Linked DNA regions of Mus musculus. The protein of the gene in region 2 binds, or shares a complex with, the protein of the main gene of each other region. Links are inferred from orthologs where the notes say so. Each region holds a gene or a part of one and is shown on either strand. Other genes may lie near its edges.

Evidence for each region.
Region 1: the proteins of Cd40 (region 2) and Cd40lg are in contact, whole or in part, in a crystal structure (PDB 3QD6), measured with the Homo sapiens proteins. The link is inferred for Mus musculus from reciprocal best matches to the Homo sapiens genes CD40 and CD40LG. Residues at the interface, in NP_001241.1 of Homo sapiens: Glu64, Ser65, Glu66, His76, Cys77, Gln79, Tyr82, Asp84, Asn86, Leu87, Trp109, Cys119; in NP_000065.1 of Homo sapiens: Ile127, Glu129, Ala130, Lys143, Gly144, Tyr145, Tyr146, Cys178, Pro217, Cys218, Gln220, Ser245, Gln246, Ser248, His249, Gly250, Thr251, Gly252.

What each region holds. Positions count from the first base shown.
Region 1 is NC_000086.7:57,210,881-57,215,146, reverse strand, and holds the start of Cd40lg (CD40 ligand), read right to left. Parts: upstream 3,005-4,266; 5' UTR 2,993-3,004; coding exon 2,837-2,992; intron 1,183-2,836; coding exon 1,051-1,182; intron 1-1,050. UniProt on the Homo sapiens protein: Cytokine that acts as a ligand to CD40/TNFRSF5. Costimulates T-cell proliferation and cytokine production.
Region 2 is NC_000068.7:165,068,647-165,072,225, reverse strand, and holds the end of Cd40 (tumor necrosis factor receptor superfamily member 5 isoform 1 precursor), read right to left. Parts: intron 2,598-3,579; coding exon 2,511-2,597; exon of another isoform or gene 2,410-2,510; coding exon 2,378-2,409; intron 1,505-2,377; coding exon 1,313-1,504; 3' UTR 1,268-1,312; coding exon of another isoform or gene 1,256-1,267; 3' UTR 572-1,255; downstream 1-571.

The DNA.
Region 1 (4,266 bases), on a different chromosome or scaffold from region 2:
CCTAGGACTCTACATGTAAGCACTGGAGAAACCTAAGACATTTTCTAAACTCACCAGTCTTGCAAATAAAGTGTTAAGAATTTTATGGAAATCCTAGATTATAGAATGGGGAGGGTTAATACACAAGGTACAAACAACTGAGCATTGTACAAAACTAAAACAATAAAATCTAGATTAAACTGGACATAGTGCTGCATGCCTGAGGTTAGAAGCAGAAGGATGTGGAGAGCAGGTCTTCAGCCACATACAAGTCTTCTACAAGCTGAGGACCATCCTATGCTACTCAAGATTGTCTTGAAAAATTAAAAAAAAATACATTCTAGCTTAAAATAAAGTCAGGCAGATTTGAACTGAATTCTGATCCCAGTAAGTGGCCTAGGAGTAAGTTTTTAGAATCTTCCTCTTCACTAGGTTAAATTATACCTTGCTGACCAAATAGGAGGATGTATATTAAGTTCTGAAATAAGGTTTGAAGAGAACAATGAAGTGGCTCAGTGGGTAAAGGCTAAGCCTAAGGATGTGAGTTCAATCTGCAGGATTCACACAGTGGAAGGAAAGAAGCAAGACTCGAAAGCTGTCCTGTGACTTCCATATGTGTCATGAATTTATAAATGAAGTAAGATCCTGACTTCTTTACTCTATTATTGGATTACACATTATCTGTACAAAAGAATGAAAACTTTTTTGTTGTTGCAGTAGTATGCACATAGCCAACTCAGCTCTCTTCTTCATTTTATTGTAAGGCTTTGTCTTTTCTTTTCTTTTTGTATGTACACATTTCCACACCTACACATATGTGTGTACATGTATATATATGTACGAGTATGTTTATATACAGTACATTTTGATCATGTCTCACTCTGTAGACCAAGCTGACCTGGAACCCACAGCAGTCGTCCTTTGACTTTGGCCTCTCAGGCGCTGAGATCGCAGCTGTGCCCACTATCCCTGCTTATACGTTAAAGCTTCCCAGGGTCAGAATTCAGTTTGCAGGACTGGGAAATGTAAGAAAACTTCTCTGTGAAATCTGCCAGGAGCTGAGCACCTTACCTTGACAAGGTCTTCAAATTGCCTTCTCATCTCCTCACAGTTCAGCAAGGATAAAGATCCTTCTCCTTTGTTGCATCTCTTTAGCTTTTTTATGAATACAAAATCTTCATGAAGGTTTACTTCCTCTTCGACCTGTTTTGAAATAGGAGACTGGTGAGAAATGTCATAGTGAAGAAGAATGCAGCTAATCACGTCTGCCTCCACATCCACTTCCATGGCACCGACGAGAGGGGGACTTTGACAGTGTAAATGGGGGAATATTAAAAGGTATCATGCTGGATTACTGCTGTTTGGCACTTGCCATTTAACAGCCTAAAAAGCCGGTGATTCCGATGGCATATTTTCTGTGCCTCTCAATAGAAATCATAGCTATTCTAATGACTTTTAATCTCAGTGTACCACAACAGCAGTGTCCTATAATTGTCATGTTTCCCACCAGCCATAAAGTAGTTTGCTGCCGAGCTAGTTTGCCTGCTTCATGGTAGTGTTCATGACACGAGGCATTACAGCGGCATTCATTCACAACATGGATTTATAATTACATCTCTCATTTCTTCTGTACTTGTAGAAATGCTTTGCATTTTAAAAGAAATTATCTCTTATCCCCAAAGTGAATGCAATATTTTCTTTTTTATATGTGAGTAATTAAATGTATGCAATTAACTTGTGTTGTCAACTAATTCTGAACAATTTCTTCTTGTCTTAAGGGCAAATTCTTAACTTTCAAAACAAGAACCAATACAAGTATAGTGGAACATGTGTGTAATCTCTATATTTGTAGGATGAGGCAGGAGTGTTCCTGTGAGTTAGAAGCCAGTTTCGTCTATCTAGAGAGTTCCAGACCATTCTGAGCTACAGTATGAAACTGTCTCAAAAAGGGGGGAAAAATCCAAACTTAACCAAATAAAATCAAAACAAAATATAAGGTGGAGTTTGCCAATAGCTTTGCCTGTCATTTAAAGTTCACTTAAATTTGACAGCACATTTGAGTCTATATGGGTTACAACTTCCCCATTATCCCTTAGCATTTCATAACACAGCCCATATGGCCCTCAGTGGATATGAGCCAGCACATGGAAACAGCGTAGATCCTGAAGTTACTGTTCTTAGCTAGTCTGCTCCCTTCCTAATCATTTAAGCATGGAAAATCTCCTCCGCGGAGCACAGAGCAGCTTACAGTGGCAGTTGGCATTGAAGAGTTGCACAGATAGCACCATTCTGACTTTAAAAATCAATCGGCAGATTGGGAGCATAGTTCATGTCTGTACTCATCCAAAACACAATGGAATTTCAGATCAAATCAATGTTCCTTTTTTTCTGGCTCACCTTTTAAAGTTGTTTTCATGGGGCTCATTTTTTTAAAGTTGTCTTCGTGGGGGGAAATAGTTCACTTTGGGGAGCAACTTTTAGGAACTAACTAGCATGTACTATGTGCCAGGCATAGTTTATCTCCTCTTCAGGGCTAGAATCATTTGATCTGTGCCATGGGTACTATGTCTACCTCTATTTCCCTGGGACAGAAAAAGAAATGAAAATATGAAGTGACATGTGCAGAATCTCAGAGCAGTTAAGAGCTAAGCTAAGATTTGAAGCCAGGCTGTCTGATTGCACATTCCAAGATCTTAGTCAGAGGTAAGGTTCTACTTTCTAGGCAACAAACATTATGCCACAACAAACATTATCCACTTTCTACTGTTCTCCATCATTTAGGTAGAACTTAATTCAAACCGTCCTAGATCAATAAGAACCCCCAATTTAGCTAATTAAGGCTTGTAGGTCACCTTACCTTATCCAATCTTCTATGAAGATACACAGCAAAAAGCACAGATCCAATCATTTGGGTGATAAGGAAAACAGTAAGTAAATACATAAAAATCTTCATGCTCGCTGGAAGTCCAGTTGCCACGGATCTGGGGGAAGGTTGGCTGTATGTTTCTATCATGCTGACTGAAAGCTGAAATGGTGTCTTCTGACCAAGAATGGGACAGAGGCAGCATGAGAAGACTGTCAAAGTGGCCGCCTTACTCAGGATTAGTTAAGAGCGCACAATCGTCGCAACCCACACTTCCTGGAAAATGTGCTTCGTAGTCTTCTGTCCCAGCAAAAAAAGTTACGTAAAGGGTTTTTCTTTTCTTTTCTTTCCTTTTCTTTTTTTAAATCACACCCATATCATTCACTTCCAGGCTTTCCCTTTTGTTAGTAAAGAAGAAACGGGTTTCTTCTTCCATACATTCATTCTTGCCTTGAAATGTCAGACTTCTTAAAAGACAATGGCAGTATTTTTCCTATTGCTCTCTAAAGTTTGGGGTTCACCAGTTTCAAGGAAAGTGACAAATGAGTCCACTAGTAATAAACTTATTTCAATTTCAATCTTACTAACATAAATCTGGAACCTGGTATAAAGTTAAAGGACTAGATGTTAGCAAATATAAGGACTGATTTCATGTCCAGTGTGCCGCCCCTTAATTGCTTCTCAGGACTTTGATTCTTTAATCTCTAAGCTCAATAAAATCTTTCTAGCTTTACTAGTCAAAACTACATGTCATAAAGCAAAAAAAGGGCTCCACATTTATTAAATAAGATGTAGCTAGAAAGAGAATTTATGTAAAAAACAAACCAATAAAAACGTTGGTGAAAAGCAAAGCTAGCTACGGTGTTTGGGAAATCAGACAGAAACTTGGGGACTGAAGCTAAAGGCAATGATTAGCCTAATTCGGCCACATTCTCTGTCTTCACAGTTACAGTCCACTATACTGATATGTAGCTAAGGATATGAAAACTGAGCTTCAGCTGAGAAACCTGGATTCTAGTCCTTGCTGTACTAATAAATTCCTACGAACTCCCAGTAAGTCACTTTGCCTCTCACTCTCCCCTACACAAAGGGCTTTGCCTAACCCATAGGTTTTGGAGAAGACAGACTAAAGATGCTAAGGAAAAAGACTTTGGAGGCATCTCACACAATATATAGTTATCCCTATTTTTTTTAACAGTTTTCATACCCTATGAAATGAGTTTTCCAAATGATTCCTAACTCTTTATATGATGAACAAACTAAGCTGAGGCCAAACCACCTCAGGTTGTGACACTGTTTTCGGAAGTATACATGTATGAATGGCCATTGTGATGTCATATCAGATAACCTTCAAACTAATACAGCTGTGGAAATCTCTCTCCCACATCCCAACTTCCTGTATAGAAACTGGTAAAATTGCTTTG
Region 2 (3,579 bases):
TGTCCTTTTAAGAGTTGCCTTGCTCATGGTGTCTGTTTACAGCAATAAAACCCCAACTAAGACAATCATGTAGCCCAGGCTGACCTTGAGTTAACTATATATCCAAGGCTAGCCTTGAACTCCTAGTCCTCTTCCTCCTGAGTGCTAGGGTTACAGGCATGCACCACTGTTGAGGTTTGATCTTGCTCTGTATTGTAATGGGTTTGTGGCCCCAAGACCTGGAGTCTGTACTGTAGACAACCCCCCCAAGTGACCCCAAGTTATTTCTGATTGGTAAATAAAGATGCCAGCAGCCAATAGCTAGACAGAAGAGACATAGGTGGGGCTTAGTATTCCTGGGCTTGGCGTTAGAAGAGAACCAAGAGAGAGAAGAGGTGAATGGAGGAAAGAGAAGCCACCATGGATTAGGAGAGTTTAAGAGAACATGGACCTGGGGCTGGCCAATAGGAGATAAGAGCAGCCCCGATGAAACATAGTAAGTAGTAAGTAATAACTGGGGGTTATCAATAGGAAAGTAGATTCAAATAGCATACAGGGTAGGCAGGTGCCCAGTTCTTGTGCTGTTTAAGGCTTATTGTAAATATAAAGGTTGAGTGTGTCTTTTATTCAAGAACTAAATGGTAACACACAGGTAGAAACCCCAGGGCGGGATTAAATAATTTCTACAATACACCACCACATCCATTTTAGGATATGTGCACATGTGCACACACGGGGTACATTACCACAGAGCACACATGGAGGTCAAATGACAACCCTCTGGATTTGGTTCTCTCCCTTTTACCATGAAGTCCCAGGGATCAAAATCAGGTAACCGGGTTTGGGCAGCAAGCTCCTTTACTCACAAAAGCCATCTTACCTGCCTTGGAATGTGTTTTAAAAGCTATTTCTCTACCCATCATTCTACTACCTGTTTTCTGCCCCACCTGCTAGAGTTTCTGAGATGTCATTGTATAAATAATTACAGATTTATTTAGCCAGTACCCTGCTGATGGGCAACCAGGTGCCCTCTAGCAGCACAAGCTGTGGGCCACGGACTCCTGTGTCCATGACTCCTTACAGTGAACGCCGCAGCAAGACGACTCTGGGTCCTGCACTGCTGCACTTGGTAGGTATCACTGTGGACCCCCGATGCCCGAGCTCTCCCTCCATCCTTAAAAAGCAAGTTGAGAAATGATAGGGGGCAGGCATGAGAGTTAGCTGCACTGGGCTCTGTCTTGGCTCATCTCAAACTTCAAAGGTCAGCAAGCAGTCCTCAGAGCCAGGCCCCTGCTCCCGAGCCGAGCCATCGCCTCCAAAGCAGTTCCAGGGTTCAGACCAGGGGCCTCAAGGCTATGCTGTCTGTCACCTGCCGCTCCTGCACTGAGATGCGACTCTCTTTACCATCCTCCTGTGTGACAGGCTGACACCCGTGCAGCGTCTCCTGCACTGGAGCAGCGGTGTTATGACCGGGATAATCTTCCATCTCCTGGGGATCTTGCCGTCGAGCCGCAGGGGGTAAGATCTGGGGAGTCAAGGTATAAGGTCCAATGTCACCTCTAGCCACAGAGCCACCCTGCCTCTGAGGAATAGAATCCCTCCTTCAAGTCCTTTCCAATGGGGTGGGAGGATGGGGGTGTACCAAAACTGATTTCTTGGATGCCTTCTGCCCCCTGCTGGACACATGAAATTTGGCAGGAAATTTCCAGAGCCACTGCAGACCAGCAGGAGAAACTGCCCCTTTGGTTCCACCTACTGGCCCCTGAAGGCGGGATCCACCCACCCCCACCCCCCACCCCCACCCCCCGCCGCCGACTCCCATCCCCAGCATTCAAGGCTGGAGGAAAGCACAGCCAGAGTTTCTCTGCCAGTGGTGCCCAGCTCTGCCCTAAGGGGAAGTAGTTGAGTAGGAGGAAGCGATGGAGACTGAGAGCAGGGCTGGGTGGGGGTGCGAGTAGCCCACCTATATGTTCCAGGGAACGGACCCTAAACCTGTTTGGGCATGTGTGTGCGCGCATGTGCGCGCGCGGAGTGTGGCGTGGTATTGGGTGTATGCTCATGGCGTAGAGGGTCCACACACCCATGTACACATTATTAGAGGCTAGAGGTCAACATCTTGTGTCTTCTTGCACTCTTAACCCTTATTTTCCGAGTCAGGGTTTCTCTTGGAACCTGGAGTAGCCCATGGTTGGCTAGCAAGCTCCTAAGATCCCTGTGTCCATCCTCCCCCCCTCTCCCCGCCCCCACCAGCGTGGGTGTAATGGGCCTTTTCCATGGGTCCACACTCAAGGATCCAATACAAGCTCTCTGCTTACTGAGTCTGTCTCCCTACGCCGTGAGCCTCCCTCCCTGCCCACCAGTCACTCTTTCCAGCATCTCTCCCTCAGGGATGGCTTACCTCATTATCCTTTGGTTTCTTGACCACCTTTTCTAGTGAGAAGAAGAAGGGGTGTGGGACATTGCGAGGGTGAGTCAGGAGGCTGGTTCGACAGGGCTGAACCCTCCCTCCCTTTCCTCTCCTGAGCACTCACTGATATAGAGAAACACCCCGAAAATGGTGATGAGGATGCCCATCACGACAGGAATGACCAGCAGGGCTCGCATCCGGGACTTTAAACCTGGAGAAACAGACTTGAGTGGACCCCACTGGCAGATGCTCCCACTGGCGGGTGCTCCCAATGGAGTGTGCTCCCACTGGCAGGTGCTCTCACTGGCAGGTGCTCCCACTCCTTGCCCAAAGCATCTGTACACTCCCAGAATCCAGGTCAGAGCTTTTAAGCAGTAGCATTGTGGGTAATGTGGTCACTAGGGGAACTTTTAAAACGCTTTATGGTATTTGCCAGTGTTTATAAATTGAGAGAGTCCATCTTTGTGTGGTGGTGGGGTACGGTGTATGTGGGCCTGGTATGTGTTTAGATGTGTGCATCTGTGCACACATGCAGAGGCCAAAGGAGGGTGCTGGTGTCCTGATCCACCATATTGCACCTTCTGCTGAGACAGAGTCTCTTGAGCCTGGAGCTAGTCTGGGAGGCAACACCCTACAATTCTCCTTCTAGTGCCACCCCCCTACACATGGTATTAAGGTCACAGTCACATGTGGTGTGGCCACACCTAGCTCATGCTTGCATAGTAAATACTCCTACCCTTTGAGCAGTCTCTAGCTCTGGGAGATTGCAGTTGGAATGAGAAGCCCCCAGTGAGCCAACTTCCCATCTGGTGTGTTCGTCAGCTGTGTCTTGAAGGGACAGCCTGCCTGCCTGCTTTACCCCTCCCTACACTAGCCCCCAAATTGTTACATCTGCTATGGAAGTATGGCGGAGAGAAACAAAGTATCTCTGTGTCTGCACTGCTATTCTAAGTGACAAATGAAAAGACCAAAAGGCAGGTACTCTTAGAGGCAAGGGGTGTGTATACACACACACACACACACACACACACACACTGTCATGAAGGTAAGTCTTCTTTGAGACAGGGTCTCACTAAGTGGTTCAGGCTGGCCTTAAACTTGGGGCTCTCATGCCTGTACCACCACACCCAGCTCATGGGTCGGGAGGCAGACACCAGTGAAACAAACACAGGTCCATAGGTGGCTACCTGGCT